4 linked regions of the Drosophila melanogaster genome follow. Changing the gene in region 4 together with the main gene of any one other region gives a genetic interaction. Each region holds a gene or a part of one and is shown on either strand. Other genes may lie near its edges.

What was found.
Region 1: of l(2)gl (region 4) and cyst, changing one suppresses a phenotype caused by changing the other (phenotypic suppression), as found in Drosophila melanogaster (one study listed by BioGRID).
Region 2: of l(2)gl (region 4) and Glyat, changing one suppresses a phenotype caused by changing the other (phenotypic suppression), as found in Drosophila melanogaster (one study listed by BioGRID).
Region 3: of l(2)gl (region 4) and park, changing one suppresses a phenotype caused by changing the other (phenotypic suppression), as found in Drosophila melanogaster (one study listed by BioGRID).

Annotation. Positions count from the first base shown.
Region 1 is NT_033779.5:19,502,750-19,510,538, forward strand, and holds the start of cyst (cysts), read right to left. Parts: upstream 6,016-7,789; 5' UTR 5,438-6,015; coding exon 4,741-5,437; intron 3,613-4,740; coding exon 380-3,612; coding exon of another isoform or gene 350-379; 3' UTR 1-349. Other genes in the region: Hasp (Hig-anchoring scaffold protein), read right to left, coding at 6,410-7,388.
Region 2 is NT_033779.5:8,009,052-8,012,351, forward strand, and holds Glyat (glycine N-acyltransferase), read right to left. Parts: upstream 1,602-3,300; 5' UTR 1,585-1,601; coding exon 1,393-1,584; intron 1,329-1,392; coding exon 1,084-1,328; intron 1,028-1,083; coding exon 854-1,027; intron 800-853; coding exon 574-799; 3' UTR 552-573; downstream 1-551. Other genes in the region: CG12560 (uncharacterized protein), read right to left, coding at 1-144, 205-408; Tg (transglutaminase), read left to right, coding at 2,694-2,832.
Region 3 is NT_037436.4:21,194,203-21,198,468, forward strand, and holds park (parkin), read right to left. Parts: upstream 2,652-4,266; 5' UTR 2,574-2,651; intron 2,568-2,573; exon of another isoform or gene 2,511-2,567; 5' UTR 2,501-2,510; coding exon 2,243-2,500; intron 2,184-2,242; coding exon 1,991-2,183; intron 1,935-1,990; exon of another isoform or gene 1,916-1,934; coding exon 1,570-1,915; intron 1,445-1,569; exon of another isoform or gene 1,429-1,444; coding exon 984-1,428; exon of another isoform or gene 929-983; coding exon 832-928; exon of another isoform or gene 755-831; coding exon 645-754; 3' UTR 552-644; downstream 1-551. Other genes in the region: Targ3 (terminal ADP-ribose protein glycohydrolase 3), read left to right, coding at 2,694-2,815, 2,869-3,043, 3,103-3,252; Targ1 (terminal ADP-ribose protein glycohydrolase 1), read right to left, coding at 3,258-3,288, 3,347-3,435, 3,558-3,923; Targ2 (terminal ADP-ribose protein glycohydrolase 2), read right to left, coding at 4,257-4,266. UniProt on the Drosophila melanogaster protein: E3 ubiquitin-protein ligase which accepts ubiquitin from E2 ubiquitin-conjugating enzymes in the form of a thioester and then directly transfers the ubiquitin to targeted substrates, such as Paris, Marf, Opa1, Miro, pnut, Septin1, Tom20 and porin.
Region 4 is NT_033779.5:18,375-23,392, forward strand, and holds the start of l(2)gl (lethal (2) giant larvae), read right to left. Parts: upstream 3,003-5,018; 5' UTR 2,692-3,002; intron 2,600-2,691; 5' UTR 2,457-2,599; intron 1,647-2,456; exon of another isoform or gene 1,642-1,646; 5' UTR 1,571-1,641; coding exon of another isoform or gene 1,511-1,570; 5' UTR 1,506-1,510; intron 197-1,505; exon of another isoform or gene 1-196. Other genes in the region: Ir21a (ionotropic receptor 21a), read right to left, coding at 3,545-4,313, 4,369-4,561, 4,620-5,018. UniProt on the Drosophila melanogaster protein: Essential for the development of polarized epithelia, for cell polarity associated with asymmetric cell division of neuroblasts during development, and for oocyte polarity formation.

The sequences.
Region 1 (7,789 bases), about 19 Mb from region 4:
CTTTTGTCCGAAGTAAAATTGGTTTAAAAAATATATAAATAATGGTAATAAATAATTGGTTAACTAAATTACTAAACAGTTTGAGATTCATTGGATTGATAGCGAGTCCGTAGGAAATACCATTAAGTACAGTACGTTTGCTTAAATTAAAGATAACATTTGCGATATTGAGCCTAAAATGGGCAGTACGATATTGGGATTGTAGATTTTCGAATGGTATAGGTACAGTTCAACAGGTATGGAAGTACATTTCCAGTTCCCCTCATTGCCCAAGATCAGGCTTCCGGTTATGACTTCAAGAAGGTTTTTATATCGATTGGAATGATAGTGGTTTCAAATGATTCCACATTTAGATTTCGACTTCAGGCGTGAACTGGCGTCAGAAGTAGATCTCCTCTTCCTCGGGCTTGGCTCGAGGAGCTGTGCCAGTGGCCACAGCGATTCCTGCCGTTCTTGCAATTCCTGTCCGGCTGCTCGTTGGAGTGCGAGTGTAGTGGGCCACCGATTCTGCTCGAGCTACGGGGGTCTGGGTGGGAGTTGCGGTGGTCGTTGCCTGCTGGATGATCGCCGGCGAGCTTCCTGTTCGCGAGTGCTGCGGCACCATTCCCGTCGTGGGCGTCGTTGTACAGTTCGAGGGCGTGGCTGTCCTCCGGTCAGCCAACTTTAGAGGGAACATCTGCTGCACACTGCCGGCGGAGATGTAGGGTGTCGGTGATGCGCTATTAAAGCTGGCGGACTTGTCTACGCGGGAGCTAGAAGTGCCGCTGGACGAGAGCGAGGAGAGCTTCATGGGCAGCTTTTGCTTGACCAGAGTGGGGTTGACTTTGGGCGCATTATTGGCGCTGATCAAATTCACAGGCGGAGTTTTGCAGCTGGATGAGCCACTCAGCCATTTCTCCTTACGTCGATCAAAGGTTCCACCCACACTGGGCGTGCTGCTGCCCGTCCCACTTCCACTTAATCCATTGTCTGTCTCGTGGCTGTCATCCAACAGCGCAGCAGGTGGAGGATGATTGTTGCTGACCGGTGGCAGGGGAGTGCTGGGCGACAGCAACAGACCCTGACTGGAGAGGAGCTCCATCTTCTTGTACAGCTGTTCACGCTGCTGGCGCACATCCTCCTGCTCGGCTTTGATCTGTTTCTGCAACTGCAGCTGTTGTGCCCGCATCTCGGCGAGTTCCTCCTGTTGCTGCTTCAGCTGACGCTGCCATGCGGTCTTCTCCTCCTGCTGCTTGTCCTGCAGGTTACGCAGCTCCTCCAATTGATCCTTGTGCGTGTAGGCACTCGAGCGAGGACTCTCCCTGTAAAGGGCCAGCTGGAGCTGCAGGTTATTGATGGTGGTCATCTGCTGGGAGATGACGCACAGCAGAGTCTGCAGATGGTGCGTCACCTGTAGCACCGCATAGTTGTTCTCTAAAGGCTGCTCCGACACCGAGCTGGACCCACTCTTTGGTTCTCGCTTCTCTTCCAATTCCTGAAGGCGGGGTGTTAGCACTAGCTTGGAGGCCAGCTTGCCGCGCTTTTCGTCGAAGCCAGCAAATGTTTCCGCCCGCTTGGGCAGAGTGGGCGAAGCGTACTGCTCACTCTGCTTTTCGCCGACACTACTCAGAGTCCTGGGCACCGGCTGACCTGTGGCCGCCGAGTAGATCGTGGAAGCCAACTGGCTGATGTCCTGCACCGTGTTGAGCACTCTGCGCCACAGCTCCGCCGTGTCACAGTCGGCACTAACGAGATCCTTGTATGAGCCGAAGGCCGCCAGGAAGTTGGCTGCACTGCAACTGGAATTGGTGCCGGCCACATCTCCAAAGGGCTGCTGCTCCTTGAGCAAATTGAATTGAAGCATCAGTTTCTCCTCCAGCAGTAGCGCCTGTTCAATGTCCTTTTGTCGCATCTTCTCGATGGTCTCCCTTTTGTTCACTCCGATTCGCAGCTTCTCCTCCGCCGTGAGATCCTCCGCCTCGATTATGTCCGTTGCGGGACAGTCAAGCACAGCCTGACGGATGGTCTGAATCCAAGTGTTCTTGTCCTTTGGCGTCTGCACTTTCAGCTCGTACATTTCTGGGAAATCCGGATTGGAACTGATAATATATATTCCCCGGGATTCGGTGCCTGCCTTTTCGCGGATAAGCAATTTCTGGAGAGGAACCACTCCAGCCTTGTGCTCCGGCGTGAAGAATGAGTACTTGTTGTGACCGGAGTTCTCGCTCAGAAAGCACAGGCAGTCGGTGAGCACCACAACAAGGACAAGCTGCGTCTTAGCCCTGCCCTGCATGAGGGTGGCCAATCCATCAAATTTCAGACGACGTCGCGACTCCACACCAAGCTCAGTTTTTCGGAAAGGCTTATTTTTGTAGATAGCAAAGGATTTGGCATCCACGCGACCATAGATTTCCAGCTGTCGTTCGCGCAGCTCTTTCTCCGCCACACACGCATCCACATCGACCAGAAGAGATTTGACCAGGTTGAGGGCATGCTGAAGCTTGTCTGTCTCCAGCTTGTTATCCCTGGCGCTCTTCAGCAGCGGCTCGATGAGCAACGGGTATTTGGTAAGGCGCTGAGTCACGAACAAGATGCATTCGGGGATGCCCTTCTTCTTAAGCAACGGATTCTGTAGACAGTGCTTGTACCATTCGGCGAAGCTTGGCTCGGTTAGACAGAGCTTAAACTGGTCCAGGGCGCTGCGATGATTGGCGCAGAACTCTCCGTAGGCCAGACGCAGGCATTGCGCCTGCTCCAGCGAGAAGAAATCGAGCAATATGTCCGCGATGCTGTCCACCATATGCTGTTCGCGTTGCTTCAGTCGCAACTGGCGCAGGAAGCAGGTGTGCAGATCGGTGAGCTGTTGCAGGCGCGGAAACATGCTGTTTAGGTTGAGTGATGGAAAGTGCCGCTCCAGACTCTCAACGAACACCTTCTGCATGACGATCAGTGTCTGGCAGTGGTGTTTCTCGGTCATAATGAACTCATAGATATGTTCCTGCCGCTTGATCTGCAGATCCTTCAGCGTCTTGAGTAACTCCCTAGGCACATTGGGTGTCCAGGAGTCGTGCTCCTTGAGAACGATGCCTAGAACGGGATCGGCTCCCAAGTCTTGTGCTTCGATCGGCGCTTCGTTGAGAAACTGCAAATCGGAACGTATCAGAGGCTGATCCTCTGGGTTGCTAAAAGTGCTCGCATCCGGCCCGTCGTAGTAATCCTGGCCGCCGCCCATTTTCTTCACCTTGCACTCAAGGTGATGTTCCTTGATCTGCGCCAGTGTGATTGCAGCACCGCAGACGTCGCACGCACTAAGCTGGCCTCCCACCAACGACTTCGTTTTCGCCTTGGGCTTCTTTTTGCGGAAGAATATAGAACCGCGCTTGGGTCGCTTCTCTACGGTGTCGTAGACCTCGATTTTTGCGTGCGCCCGCAAGAGGCTTTGATTCTCATCCTCGCTGTCCGTGAGGTGGCGCGCGATCGCCTTGATATCCTCCTTGGCTATAATTGAGCTCGTCGATATGCTTTTCTGCAGCGGTATTCTGCTGATGATCTCCGTTGCCAGGCTTCGCTTGGCAGCAATCCTCTCGAAGTCACGGGCCAGCTCCGCCTCGTTTAGCGAATGGGTCGAAATACCTGCGAGTAGTCAAAGTTAGAGAGTCGGTCCGTTAGCAATAACTAATCGCAAGGGGTTTCTGATAGCTTTGGTCGGAGCTACCAATACCAAAACACTATATGGGCTTACAGATAAGGGGGTTTTGTGGAATTCCACATCGAAACGAAGCTAACTTGGTAGTAGCCCCTACTCTTTGGTTGAGTGGCATATTATTTTGAGCAATCAATTGGCAAAATTTATTGACTTTATTAACGATATCTTATCATACATATTTTCCCATTTTTTTTCCGCGAGTCCCACGGTCACACCTCTACAATATTCTACATTCTACAATAATTTAAGATTAGGGCTTGTAGTTTCTAGTGAATCTGCTTGGAACAGAGAAGTTATTCTGTCGAAAGGTCATAACTTTTCACTTGGAGCCATTTAAGTTTAGTACGTTACCACGGCACCATATTTGAAAGCTATTGAAATCGGATTGTAAAGCTAAATGGGAAGAATTTTCATTATACTGGAGGCATAATTTACCATACGATGCGTACATAAGTACAAGCGAATGTTTCATTGCTCACTAGGAGAATACGAGATAGAAAATTTTCAAAGAGTACCCGGATGCGTCCTTTAAGTTCAGATAACTTAAAATCCTTTTTAGAAGATCAACAGATAAACCTAATAAATCAAGTTTGCTTACTAGAAGAGAATTATTTATAAAGACAAATGCTTTACTAAAGTCAGTGTAGATGACACCTGTTTGAATATTATTTCTGAAGCCCTGTATTACGAAGGAAGTTAGCTCCAAAAGGTTATTGGTTGTTTATCTGCGTTTCTGCTGACATGGTGATATAATTGACCTACAAAGGCGCTGCAAATGAGTAGTGATAACATTTTCAAAAACCTTTGGAATAGCCGACAATTTAGAGATTCCTCTGTAAAATCCATTTCCGACTTAATTTTGAATGCATTTTTGTTTAGTATTATTTTAAACTTTCAACACCTAAACACTTTTGTCTAAATAATTAAATAATATTGGCAAATTTACCTAATCAACAGGGCCAGCCATGTTGCAGGTATACAAATATCTGAACTACTATTGCATTGCACACTTATGGCTTTGCCAACCCACCCCCGAAACCTTAGTGCATATCTACCTCCAGTGCTGTTCCTGGCCGACCTTCGTCGCTGCTCGGTGACGCGAATGGTTTCCTGCTCCTCGCTGTCCAGGCTGGATAGGCTGACGCTCTTGTTGGTGCAGTCGCCAGCGCCGCTGCCATCGTCCACGGCTGTCCAGGATTTCCGGCGGTCTGTGTGAAGAAACTGGCACTGCTGCGGTGCCGTGGAAGACCACATGGCGTAGTTGGAGCCACCGGACGCGGGACCCGTGCCCGTCCCCGTAAGATCGGGCAGCGAAGTACTCAGTATAGCTGCGCTGAGCAGTCCATGATTGGCCAAGCTGCCGTCCTGCATGTGCTGGCTAGGCGAGGAGGAGTTCTTCATCTGGACGACCGTTTCGCGGATGTTCTGCAGCTGGCTCAGCGTGTCCTCGAATATGTTGTTGTACTTGGAGGCCAGGGCGGGACTGTGTGGCGTCACATTTATGGTGGGTATCATGTTGTTGTTATTGATGGTGTTGCTGGCAGGATTAGATGCTGGTGGCGGAGCAATGGGGGCGCGCGCTGGACCAGGAACGGGTGCGTTTATTACGGGTATGCAATAGTTCTGGCTTTCGATGGAGGCGCCTCGGTTGGTAGAGCCACCATTAACCAGCGCTTCCGAGGACTCGCTGCAGTTGGAGTTCAGAAAATCGGTGACCACATCATTGTCGCTGTCCTCGCCCGCGTTGTCCATAATAGGGTCTACTGAATTCTCTGCGTTTTGGGCCAATTTCCTTTGTTTAGCGACTGTGTTCTATTTTACAGCTGGCTGCCTAGAAAAAGAAAGTTTCAGTATACAACGCACACACACTCAACCGCGACGGGCACCATACATGCATATATGTGTGTACATACGTACATATACACTTGTGTATGCACTTGCTTTTTGCTATTTATTGATTTTCCCGCCACCCCCGAAAACACCTTGTTGCGCGACGTAAATTGTTGCGCCTTTTTCGAAGGACGTCACTTGTCCTTGCACCAACAACAACCACAATAACAGCAGCCACACAACAGCAGTGGAAGCAACAACAGCAACAACAACGGCAGCTCAGCAGCATCAACAGCAGTGCGTGGGCGAGGGGAATGCGTGAGTTTTAAACGATAAATTCGAACGGGTGCTTCGCGTGCGGGAAAGGGAATACTGGCCGTTGCACTTAACCGAAAACTAAACGGAATCTTAAGCTAGTGAGATTTCTGCCAGCGTTTTAAAATTTAAATGCGATTCGAGCTGGGGTTGGAACTTATATCGATGCTTACCCGATACTATCGCCAGCAGTCGGGCAGTGTGACCATGACGGCGGCACACTTTACATTTAACAGCGCTGTCGCTAACATAACCAGTGCTGAAAAGAAGCGCCCAACCATTCCGATTCCGATTAACAACACTACATTTGAATTCAAATTTAATCCTAACTATGTAACGGAAATCAAAATATAATTAAAACAGAAGAACTTTTGTCTTTATTCGACGAACATTTATTGAAAGTAAAATGATGGCCGTGCGATACAGTACAGGGCTACAGTTACGCTACAGTTACAATTGAATCGCAAGAATGGCGTTACTAGTTGGTAAACGCGTGACTGTGCGCCTGGAATGTGCATTAGTTAGTAGGTAGTAATATGTATTAGTATCACTCTGAAGCAACCGGCAATCCGAATCGCTCTAGCCCATGGTGGTGGCCAGGTGCTTGTTGGTGGCCACGGATCCGGATCCTCCGCCGCCGCCTCCTCCTCCTCCTCCTCCTCCGCCGACAGGACCCTCGTTTGTCACGCACGTGGGAATGGCACTGGACCACTTGCCGTTCTTAAGGCACTTGAGCACCTTGGAGCCGCGCAGATCCAGTCCGGCATCGCAAGTGAACGTGATGCTCTCGCCGATGGCGTAGTAGAACTTGACGGAGGACATCCTGCCGCTGATGACGGTGCCCGGATACGAGCAGGCCTGCACGCACTTGGGCAGCCCGCCAGACCACCTGGCATTATCCTGGCAGGCAATGATCGGCTGGCCCTGCATCATGTACTCGGGATTGCAATTGAACTGGACCACGTCGCCGGCACGATAAGGTGCTGAGCCCTGGGCGTAACCATTTTGCGGCGCCCCCGGATTGTCGCACTGCACCTCGACGCAGGTGGGCAGCGGCGCTGACCACTCGCCCGTCGGATTGCAGATCGCCTCCGCCGGACCACGCAGCCCGTAACCGGAGGCGCACGAGAAGGCCGCCCGGCCGCCCACCTCGCGCGACAGCACGGACACACGGGGCGAGCTCGCGTTGCTGCCCATTCCCAGCGGGATGTCGCCGCACTCGACGCTCTCGCAGACCGGCAACGGTGCGCTCCAATTGCCACTCGGTAGGCAGAACAGCTCCGAGGCGCCAATCAAGGAGTTCCCGTTAGCGCAGGACAGCAGCGCCCGCGTGCTCAGCTTAGTATCGTTGGTGTTCACGATCAGGCCGCGTCGCATCGGTATCTCCGGGCAGTTGATGGCCCGCACCACCACCTCCACGGTGTGCTCATGCCGAGCTGGGGTCATGCACGAATAGAACCCGGAGTCGTCGCTGGCCGCATCCACAATGCTCAGCCGGTATTCCAGTGTAGAGTCGCGGCCCTCATCCGCTTCGGTTACCCAGCCCTCTGTGTAGTTCCTGCAAGACGCAGAGATTCATTAGTGGAGTTTACCACATGGAGGACGGTTTCCCAAAGGTATCTCCCATTAACCAGGTTCAAATATGTTTAGATTGTTTTGAGTACCTATAAAATAAAAGGTGTAGATAAGAGAAGGGCTATTCCAAGAGATTCCCAGAACCAGACCCTGCTGATCATTGCCTTTTATAGTATAAATAACCCTTAAAGAAATAAAAATAAATGTTTATAAGAAATCCCTAAAGTCAAACGATCTAATGATCAATTCAAATACCTAATTGCTGCTTTTAAAAATTTAACCTATAGTCCAATAACGAGATACACCATACACATTAATTTGAAGTTCAGACGCAAATAATTTATGAACATACCCCTTGCTGAAATTAATTAGCAACTTTAAAGT
Region 2 (3,300 bases), 8.0 Mb from region 4:
CACAGGTTTCAATCGCGTAGAAAACCCAAAGAAATCGTATTCATTCTCAATGGACTTGAGGCATTCTAACGCTTTCGTCACTCGATCCAAATTTTCGCTCAGTGTGTTGAAGTAAATGTGGTTCATATGAGTATCCGAACGTAGCTGAGATGATTAGACAACATTCAATCACCGAACTTTTGCATTTCACATCGCATAACTTACCGTTAGAACAAAGGTTCCATCGCTCTGCCAGTCGCCATTCAACGATAGGAAATTGACCTTCAATTGCGGGTCTATCTCCACCCACTTAATGAAATTATTTATGCACGGATAGCCTTGGGGATCCGTATCTCTGGCCACATACAAATCTCGCAGTTTAGTCCATTCGCCGCGTGGAATTTCAACCAACGAATTCTCCGTCGACATGACGACAACCTTTCGCAACAAAAGCTGAACGCAGACTAAACTTGAAACAAAAAAAAAAAAAAACAAAATGAGATAAGAGAAAAGCTGTGCACTACAAAGAGAGCAAACAAGTAAATCGAAACTCATAATAAAAGTAGACGTTTGTAATCTGTATTTATTCTTTATTTATAAAGTGCACGGTATCACTGCCCAGTAGAGTTTGTTGATATTGTTGAATCCTAGTTTCTCGAACATTTTTTGCGAACCCTCGTTTTCGGGAACAACTGTGGCCAGAACTTCTGAGCCCTTTAACTTGATTTCATTAGCCATAAAGCGCACTGCCAAAGAACCCAATCCCATTCGACGATGTGAGGATAAAACGTGTAGGTTACTCAAACTACCATGAGGAGATCTAGAAAATACAGATTGTTTCAGGAATATTATCAAACCCATCTTCTTTTCTTACCTTAGACACCACGCTAGGGGTTCTCCTTGGTTATCAAAAACACCAACAGCGAGATTGTTCTCCATAAAACCCCTTATCATAGTTATAGAATCAGCTGAACGATAAGCCCAATGTTTGTCGACCAATTCGGCATGATTTGATGTGATATAAGCCACTTTGCAAGAGGTACTCAAACTAAAGGGTTAGAAATTTGTAACAAGATTTTACTGAATATTATTATTTTACTTTACCTTGGTTTCCAACTGGGAATTTCGGTGCTTGGCAGGTGGTAAACAATAGCGCCCTGGTGTTCAAGATTAATCAAATCTTGACCCAAATTCAGCCAATATGCCTCAACTAATGGTTTGAATCGTTCTTCATAGCCACAGATTAAATGAAACACTTTAAGTTTTAGAGAGTTCAACAATTTGCCAAGATCTTCTGGGGTTCCCTTAATGGTATTCATATAAATATAGGCCTTGTTCTCCAAATAATGCTGAAATGCAGATCTAAAGTTATATTTCACATACCTAGTGTATGTGAACTATATATGTGCTTACAATTAGTATATAACTGCCATGTGTTCTCCAATCCGTATCAGTTGTATATATCTTTATGGATTCGGTTGTGGATAAGGGTATGTAATTTAAAAAGTACTCGATTAAGTCGAATCCCGTGAGATTAGTTCTATCATTCGCGTACAAATCTCTGAGCTCTGGCCACTGAGATTTTTCTATCAGTATAGGTTCCATTTCCAATTACAATTGTTGCTGAGGCAGAGAAAAATGATACTGATGTTTTTCTTTTCACAGACACAACAATTATTTACTGAGTTCTTTTTGTATATTTATGACAATCTCTTTCTCTTGCGTTCTCTTAGTATACCCATTGACGTCACAAAATATCTTGTGCTCTTTTGTAGACACCTTCTCATTTAAAAAATTTTCGATATGTTTTATACTCATTTCTGCGTTCTGATTGACTGATCGCCAACTGTAGAAATTTCTTTAAGCGGTTATCGATTTTTAAAAGTTTTAATAAAAAATATTTGCTTATCATTTTTATGTATTTGATTATATATTGGGGACAAACCCTCTATTAGAAATGCATGTAAATTTCGTATAACCTTGTCAAGGTCACAATGAAGGAACATATGAAGTGCTTATTTCTCAAAGTGTATCTTCCCAGGAAATAACCATTACGCAAAACACTAAATCTAAAGTCTGTGTTGACAGAACTGACAAAGATTTAAACCCAACCACGCCCCTTTAGCACACTCATGATAACTCAAACTAATTAATTAACTAAGATAGTCGTCAATCAATTTGATAGCAATCAAAGTCAATCATGAATGATTCAACTGCAACTTATTCCGTAAAGCTGATCAATTTACACACGCATCTCTGCTTTTTGGACACTCGAGGCCATCAACTAAGTGACACCGTTGACCCACCACAGGCACATGGCATATGGTATGTAAAATGTGAATAGTTGGGAGAAGACGACCGATCGATTCGGTATTCAGTATCATTCGAATGTTGGAGCTTAATAGACCGCTTCGAATCAACGCCATCGACGGCGATGACGTGATCGCAGCTGTTACAATTTAAACTGCCTCGATTTTGCATTCCGCGCGAGCAGTTTAACCAAAAAATGACACGCCAGTTAATTGCGGACAGCGAAATTGTTGGGTTCTAGAGTAGCAGCAATATTCCGAAGTTCAAATACCAATCCTACAAATCCATCGGAGAATCAACAAAGTAAGGCTTATCATCGCCAAGGCGAACCGGTTTGCCCAATAGATAAAGTCAGAATACGCCAGCATTTGAAAAATAACTGGGTGTGTAGTTCGACTTGAGACATGGGTCAAAAACTATCGTGTTGCCAAAAGTGCGGCGATTGGAAGTGGTGTACATCTAAGGACAACGAGGAGTCAACGCTGCGTATACGCAATGCCAATGCCAACTATTTTACGGGCATTCCACAAGGCGACAAAACAGGTTGGTTTCAATCGCCAAATAAATAAAAACATCGATCTTAACACCTTACTAATTCGACAATGTACTATTGTACATAGCCTACAAACAGTTTTTATAATTCAAACAACAAATTTGAATTTTACATAAGAACGTATCTAGATGTATTTTGAATACTAAGACCTCGAATTCAACGTTTAAGTTTGATTAGAGAAATTGATTGAGTCTCAAATTGTTTTACTACATATTTTAAGGCCGTTAAATTCGATTTTATCTTTGCGTTCCGCTTACCAACGTCGAAAATTGATTTACTTTATAGTGTATGGCACCGATCCAAACAATTATGCATTTGTTCTATAGTCATTTGCCTTTTATGAATGCAAATTTTATAGCCGTGGGTGTTAGACACTCATAGACGCGCTGCCCACGGTGTAGTTTTTTTCTATCCCCCCAAATTGCTCATTTCATACCTGCAATTTCGAAAATTAAATT
Region 3 (4,266 bases), on a different chromosome or scaffold from region 4:
CGTGTTTCCTATATATAATTGCCTAAAATCTATTGATTTACAGATGTGTCCTAGGGCGGTTGCACATATGAATTATAAAACTGTATTAAAGTGAAATATTTAATTTTACGTATTAACGGCCAAAATTTAAGTTTCAGTTTCTTAATAATTTTCTCTTTTGTGTTTTCTCTCTTTAGCAAGAATAGTAGTTAGTACTTTTGAAAATCCAGGAACATTTTTGAAATGCCTTTACCATCCCCCAATCAATTATTAGTCCCCTTGCGGCTACGCGCCTGGGTTGAAATCACATGAACCTTGTGCCGCTGACCACCCACTGCGCATTCGCGGCACTCGCTCTCTGGCTGTTTGGCCAAATGCACGTGTTTGTTGCGGTTTTCGCATGCCTGGCCGAAGAGGAAAGCCCTCAAAATATTTGTGGGCGAGCTTAAAAAAAAACGTAAACAAAGTTTTTGTGCGCACGCAACAAAGGAACAGAGTGGGGTAGGATGTGATTCGCGTTGGTCCTTGTCAGGGGTGTTTCTGCTATTGATTGCGTAGACGACAAACAGGGTGTTGTTCGAGCAGTCTTTACTATGGTATACAATTTAAAAGTAGTCAACAAACAAAAAGGACCCGTCGGGCCGACGTACAACGATGACGAAGGATTAGCCGAACCAGTGGGCTCCCATGCAGTCGCGTGTCCACTCAGTCTGGCAGACCCAGCACCACTCGAATCCGCAGCCAGCGCGTGTGCAGACCATGTGCATGCAACCGCCTGGTAGGAAGAGAAGAAGACGGTATGGATGTGTTACAAACTGCGTCTTGGGTGTCTTCGATGCTCGCCCAACTCACCATCTCGCTCCGTGGGGGTTCTGCATTTTGGACAGGGCTTTGTGCTGACTTTGATGGTGACATTGCTGGCCTCATCCCATCGCGCCTCGGCAGCTCGCTAAAAAAGCACATGATTACACAAGCGGGAATGGGCCGTATAAGAGCCAACTCACATTTGGGTCCACGGTGTACTCGCAGGAGTTTGTGGCACTGGCGCCCGTCCCCTCGGGCAGACACTCCCCGATATGGTAGCCCTGCAGACAATTGCGGCAGAACACGTATCCACAGCCGTTCTGGCATGTCACCTTGCGACAATCGGGCTCCACCAAAAGGCCCATGCCGCATCCTGGCTGGGGGCAGAGTACTCCACCTGCCTGTAGGACATACTCCTCGGTGGCGAATCTCTGGTACCGATCGTACTCCTCGCGTGTCAACAGCTTGAAGTGATGAATCTCCTCGATGAACGAGTGCTCGCAGCCTGCGGGACAGGGCAAGGTGTAGCCGAAGTCCGGATGCGGCATAAACTGACGCTCGCCCAAACGGGAACGGCAATAATGGCGGAAGCAGTCGATACAGGTGACGTGCTGCGATGCGCAGGGGAAAACCAACACGGTATCACTGCGAACATAATAAGGTGATTATAGCAGAATAAAATTATATGACAAATAATTACTTTAAAGACTTTAAAAGAACTTTTTATGACATTTTCGATGATATGAAAATTATAAGAAATTAAGATGTTCCTTATTGCATAATCACCTCACATCCGTGCAGGCCAGGCAAGGAACATTCTTGATGTTATTCTTGATTAGATTCAATGGAGCCGCAAAATCCTTCTCCCCGCCGGAGACATGCTCAGCACACTTGAAGAAGAATTCAGCGAAGGGCGGATCGCCAGCCGCGTTGTCCACGCAGGCCACCTCCAGACTTTCACAATGACCGGGAATTCTACGCGACTTCAAGACATCATCCCAACACTCCGGATCACGATGGACAGTAAAGGCGCCGCCCTTGCATAAAGCGCAGCGGACCCGAAGTTTGCCATTACACAGCTTATCGCATTGGCTGCAATGTACAAAGAAATGCGCTTTGGCACGGACTCTTTCTGGAGAGGATACGACGGGATTACAAGGGGTTTCGTTAAAAAAAAAAAAAACAATAAAAACTAATTGTTGCCTACCTTCATCGGTTATATTCAGACGCTCCTCGCTTTCCAGCTGCAAGTCCAACAGAGTTTCATTTAGAGGCTTGGAGGCTTCATCGCTAAGCGAAGGTTCCTCCTCCTCCAAAGTGGCCGACTGGATTTTCTGGCGCTGCACGGGCGGTCGCAAACGAATGGCATGCAAAACGCTTTGCTGACCCAAGTCACATTGCTACTAGAAGACAGTAAAAGTTAACTTCATGTAGCGGATACATTAAAGAAACTTCTTACCTCTATTGTCGTGGCATCGCTTAGTTCCTTACCGGCAAATATGATCTTTAGATCATCCGGCTGAAGTCCCAATTGTGGTGCCACCAGTTCCTTTACGTTTTTAATATCCCACTGGGGCTCCAGATTAACGGTCAGCGTTTTGCCCGTGTTCGTTTTTACATAAATACTCAGCGTGTGCGTAAGGGTTTTCCCTCCAAATTGCAACAGCTCCAGCATTTTGCGTACAAAAGTGGCAATAAATTTAAAAATAAAACTCATTTGTTATCAGCTGATCGGGTTTAATTTTAGTGCAGTGTATATGCTTCAGTGTTGCCAATCGTTGTTTACTTACGCGTTGCCAAACACCAGCTGGCAGCCATTCGGAGGAAAACGTGGACACGCAGAAAGCGCACAATTGAAAACAATTTTTGTGAAGAAGTCGGAGGAGTATAAATGTAAAAGTTTTATGGAAATGTCAGGACTAACTTACAGAGAGATCAATGGCGACCTATTCAAATGCCAAAGGGATTATTCCATGTGCCACTGCGTGGCTGCCGATTTGCGAATGGGCAGAGGCATAGCTGTAAAGTTTCGGTAGGTAATGGCTTAGTGTTTTTAATAAAATGGTAAATTTGCCTATTTTCCAGAAACAAATTTGGACAGTTGTTGAATTTGCAGAGACAAAATGTTCAGCCAGGCGGCGTGGCTGTCCTTCAGGACCAGCAGCGATTTATTTACTATCTGATCACCAAGAAATCCAGCTGGGGAAAGCCCACCTACGAACTTCTCCAGAGTTCCTTGATCGCCATGCGAAAACACATGGTATGTTTATGTATCTTCTATAAGAAGTTATGATATACGAATCTTTCTACCATTTGCAGATCTCCCACCAAGTACCCAAGCTAGCCATGCCCCGCATTGGATGCGGTTTGGATGGCCTAAACTGGCCCAAAGTTAAGGAAATAATTTGCCAGGTTTTTCAAGCGGATTCTGTTGAGCTGGTCGTTTATAATTATGTTGCTATGAAGTAAATGGCTCATATTAAACTAAACGATCCATTATTTTCCCTGTGGAGGCACAAAATTGTAGACAACAATCTCCAGCGGCTCTTGGCCAAAAACGTACTCGAGGACTCCGCTGACTTTTTCCCATTCCAAGCCATCAATTCCGCAGCCAATTTTTGGGATGGCCAGCTTATTCACGTTGTTTTTGCGCTAATGTAGGAATAATAAAATGTAGCTCTTATTAATATAACTTGTCTAAGCTTTATATATATAATAAATAAAAGCAGGGATACATTCCATTCATAAAAGATATGTATCAGGCATGTATTTACCATATGCTCACGCATCTGCTCCAAAGATGCTTGTACAGATTCGTAGGTGGGCTTTCCCCAGCTCTGAGGCTTGGTTACTAGGTAGTAAATGTACCGCTGGTCATCCTTCAGCACCGCAATATCTCCACTGCCCGCTTGTTGGGCTTGCAGCTCGTCCAACCTTCCGAATACCTTCTTGAACTGCACGGCAATTCCAGCACCCATCGCAAGATCTGCGCCCACACAGTGCGCCAAGGAATAGGTCTTGGGGGCGGAAAACAGATCCCCATCCACTTCGCTTAGGGTGTACTGAGGTTTGGATGACATTCCGACTACAAAAGCTCGCCGAAATGCGCTACGTAGTTCTAGAAGTTTGGGAGAATACATTTAGTTTAAATAAGGGTTTTAGATCTGTCTGACTTAGTGTAACAGGCAGCTACTAGATTAATTTTTGGTCATACGATAACACTAGATAATGGTTCGTAAGGGTATATATATGTATTTATCAAAACTCCAATCTTTGGTTAATATCCTCTCGAGGACGTGTTTTATTTATTAATACATTAAATACAGTATAAATAACCAAATATGGAAACTTTGTGTGCTATAAAAACCTCTTAGGTGTATCGTTCTTATCAACTATATAAGTATTTGGTGCATATGATGCCACAAGTCCCAAGCAAAACCATTTCGAGTGTCAAACAAAGATGGCTATATACATTAAAAGGGA
Region 4 (5,018 bases):
GCACTGTTCTTCACATCGTTGCTTTAAATGAGAATAAATGAAATAAACGTGTCAACCAAGAACACACAGATAATAATACGACCGGTCAGAGCTTAACCGTGTATCTGTTTTATAAAACGTGAACAATATTATTAGCCCAAAACGATATGCGCGTCATTTTAACACACACAAAGTCGCGATCGGTGGGTCTAGTGTGCCCGTGTATCTCTATCGAAAAAATCATATATTTTTTAGAAGGTATATTTTCCATGACTGACTGGAATGGGTGGAGAACATCGCTTTGGGAGTGAAACTCCGCTATAAATTGTCATTTGTTTTTATAGCAACCTTTTTGATATGGTCGCCAACTTTTATATAATTATAATAATAATTTTTGTAATTAATCACCGCTGTCGCACGAAAAATTTAGGAAATGTGCCAACGAGCGGAATTTTTCGGAACGATCGATGTTTTACCATAACCTGCTATATAAATTGTGAACCACATTTTCAACACAAAACTAGATGTGCTTCATTTATAACGCAATGTCGTGATTTTGTGGGCAGTGTGACCATGTCCAATCTGCGTTCAAGTAAAACCATATTTAGTGACACAAACTTTCCATTACAAAATACCAAACAACTTTAAATTTGTTGTTGCATCAAACTTTTTCTTTCTATACATATAATATTGCGGGTGTATTTGGATTTCTAACGCAGTTACAGGCGAATAAACTCATTTTCTTTTGACTTTAAAATCTTATCAATTTTACGCCGTCTATGACATACTTATTTTGTACCTGAAATAAGGGTGTTTGTGAAACCAAGCCACTTACCCAACCCATTAGGTACATAAACGCAATCTTATCAGCTCCCCCCTCTTTCTGGAGCTGGATGGCGATTACCTCTGACCTACTTTTATTTGTTGAATAACATGTTTATACTAACATAGGATAAAAAAAATTTCATATACGTATATTTATTAAACTATTATGGTAATAGGGAAACATCTATGGTATATTTAATTCGAAAATATTTAAAAGGAATGGACAACATTACGAGCACAACGATATAATAGAATTTTTAAAGTAGCCAATACACAAAAATATGCTGTGGAAAAAGACACTCACAAAATCAACCAAGCTTCAGGTACCTCCTCATATTTGGCACCGCATAGAAGGAGTGCACAAAAGAAACGAGCAAAAAAGCACCGTAACCTTTTTTATGCGGTGCTTTGTGGCGCGAGTCTACAAAATACTGTGTGTGTATGCGGTTTACTTGTAGTTGCGGTGGAAAAAATTTACCTAAATGTTAATGCCCAAAAGTATGCACATAGGAGAAGACATAACAAAAGATTCAAAAGGAGGTATTTATTTATTCCTCATAAATTATAAGCTTTCTTCTAACTTCCATAAAAATGTATTTACCACCCAAGATCAAAATAAATGACCCCACAAAATATACCAATCGGCTACAAATACTTAAAAAAAAAAAAATAGAACGGAAAGAGAAAATTGTTTGTTTTACCTTACGATGTAGCGTTGTCTGTCAGCACTGGGCTGCTGCCCTTTTCCTCTGATAAACTTTAACATGATTGGTTATGCTCTTGTGGTGGTTTGGTTTTGATGAATAAATAAGTATATTAATTGTGGCCGAATTTATTCTAAACTGAAAATAATAATAAAAATTAATCAAATTTTCAATAAGTAAAAAATTAAAAAGGAACTTGTATATTTTTTCACTCTTATGAATAAAACCGAGAATTTAAATTTAGGTAATACTATTAATACCTTTTATAGATACGGACGATACGTTTAATATTATTCTGGTATACTTTAATCAAAATTTGTTTAACAAAAAGGGTTTTACATTCTTGAAGTCATAGGAAAATCAGTGGACAGATAGATCTTGGCTCCCAAGATTTTCCAAACTAGTTGTGCTTATTTTCTTAAAACTTCAAAGATTTGCATGTAGGCAGTTTAATAAACATGTTTGTACATATGTATATGTACATTAGGAAAAATGAAATGATGAGCGATCTGTACTCTTTGCAATGTGTATGTATGTACATATGTACCTCCCTTTAATGAACTAGCAATTCCGTCACGCACACGAAATATTTTTTTATTTGTAAATCTTTTTTAAAGTTTGTTTAAACAATTTAGTTACTATTAAAGCTCTAAAATTCATAAATAAATAATAATAAATGTATTAATTAGGACAAAAAACAACTTAAAACATATACGTTTATTTTTGTAAAAGCGTTTTAGGCAAACGCTAGCTGGTCGGTACTAATATTTTTTCTAAGACTGTATACCGTATACATACATTTATGTACGTAGGTATGTATCCGTGAGTAAGCTGAGGTGCAAAACCGTATCACCATTTGCTTTTCGGCTGATAACCAATACCAAGTAAGTCAACTGTTTCCCAAATGTATCTGCATAACAAGGTGATGACCTAATTTTGAGTACATACCGATCTTTACAGTTGACCAGCTTTGCGATTGCATACCGGTATCTGTTTATTCACATATACACACACAAATTGCGTGTTAGACAGACAGCAAAATGACGACTGTTAACTGTTGGCGTGGCTGACTCACCGACTACGCCTCTATGCTAAGAACATACATATTTGTGGACACTTTATTTAAGAAGTTTGAAATATAAATCAATTGCCTAATCAGTAATACTGTTGTTGAGCCCTTTACCTTTATGTATTTCCGTTTGTACGGTTAAGGCGGTGGCCGAGTAATTTTTTGAACTATTTTATTTGCTCACCATCACGCATAAGTTTGTATGTATTCTTATGTTGAGAAACGCCCGCACTGTTCTTCACATCGTTGCTTTAAATGAGAATAAATGAAATAAACGTGTCAACCAAGAACACACAGATAATAATACGACCGGTCAGAGCTTAACCGTGTATCTGTTTTATAAAACGTGAACAATATTATTAGCCCAAAACGATATGCGCGTCATTTTAACACACACAAAGTCGCGATCGGTGGGTCTAGTGTGCCCGTGTATCTCTATCGAAAAAATCATATATTTTTTAGAAGGTATATTTACCATGACTGACTGGAATGGGTGGAGAACATCGCTTTGGGAGTGAAACTCCGCTATAAATTGCCATTTGTTTTTATAGCAACCTTTTTGATATGGTCGCCAACTTTTATATAATTATAATAATTTTTGTATATATAATCATAATAATATCATATAATAATCACCGCTGTCGCACGAAAAATTTAGAAAATGTGCCAACGAGCGGAATTTTTCGGAACGATCGATGTTTTACCATAACCTGCTATATAAATTGTGAACCACTTTCTTAACACAAAACTAGATGTGCTTCATTTATAACGCAATGTTGTGATTTGTGGGCAGTGTGACCATGTCCAATCCGCTTTCAAGTAAAACCATATATTGCCACAAACTTTCCCATACAAAATACCAAACAACTGTAAAATTTGTTGTTGCATCAAACTTTTTATTTCAATACATATAATTTCATGTGCACTAAAGTGATTATTTTGTATTTGCATTTAAAAATTTCTGTGATTAATTGTCAATACGGAATGTATGTGAGGAAGGATTGCCGTCGTTATCCATCTGGTCCATAAATTCGTCTAAACGCTGCAGAGATTCAAGAGCTTCCCGAGATTCTTCGTCTTCAATATTATTTAATTTTGCAGAACTGTTTGGAAACTCAGTGTGGACGATGTCTAGCTGACCATGATCTGTTTCAGGTGCCCCGTAGCTTCCGTATATTTCCCGAAGCGTTGCGCGGGTAAGATTTAACTCGCGCATTCCAAAACTCATTTTTTGAGCAACCTCAGCAGCCTCGCGTCTATTGGCCTTTCGCTTATCATGGGAAAGTTGCTCGGCATTAGTGCGAAGCATTGACCCACTTGACGCCGACGACCAAGAGGAGGCGGCCGACTTGCGGGAGCGCTTGATTATTTGGCGGCACTTGTTGGTAATCCCACCGACGATCTCGGATACCAGGGCTGTGGCTCCTAGAAAGTAGCCCAGTGCCATGAGCAGGAACATTCCTTCTGTGTCCGCTGTAGTCAATTGGCGCTCTTCCTGAATTATTTCGCGTAAGGAATTCGAAGAACTTGCCTGGAGCAGGCGTCCTGAAGATGATCGCTGCATGACCCAGCTTACCTCGTTATTGATTTTTGCAATAAGACCACTTTGCTGGGCAAGTAATATCATCGAGTCGATTTTGATTTTATACACTGACTCTCGGGGAAACAGAAATCCTATTTGGAAAAGAGCAAAACACTCTTCACTCAAATGAAGCGCCGATCGGCGGGAAATATTTCTAAAAGAGGATATCGTTTACGGTGGGAAGATTAAAAATAAAGGATCGATCTTACTCATCTGAAAAATTTGACTGCACCAGGTATTCGAGCTGAGCCTTTGAGCCAAGAAAGGCATAGTTCCAAAAGAAGCTCTGGGTAACGTTGCCAATGCCCTCATCTACGGACCCGACAAACTCCATTTTCTTGTACAATCTAGACGTCGGTATATGGGTCGAGTTCTGGAACCAGGTCTCCCAGCCACCATTGTCTTTAAGTAAGAAGCCCAAATATTATATACAAATGTAGCGAGCCTAACCTTTTCTTACTCAGGGTTCCAACGCGAAAGAACAATCCCAGCAGATCCAACACAGAGTCAACGGTGTCCGGAAAAGCTGGCAACGTTACGAATGCTATGATGGAACCTGTGTAGCAAGATGTAATGATAATTGTAAAGAGCCAATATGCTCCAATTAGAAGGCGTGTGGAATTTTTCCGCGTGTTGCTCCACGAGTATTTTCCGGTGAAGGAGAAAGCGTTTGTGAACATGCCAAATACATACCAGAACATGTTTTCTACCTCACCCCAATTACCCATTAAATGGCTAAGTGTCAAACGGTCGGTAAAAACTATCGGAAATATTCCACCGAGGTAAACGCAAATCAGAGCGACCCAGACTGGCCATTGGAACGGTCCCATTATGGCTCTGTATTTCGGCAGCGCCTTCG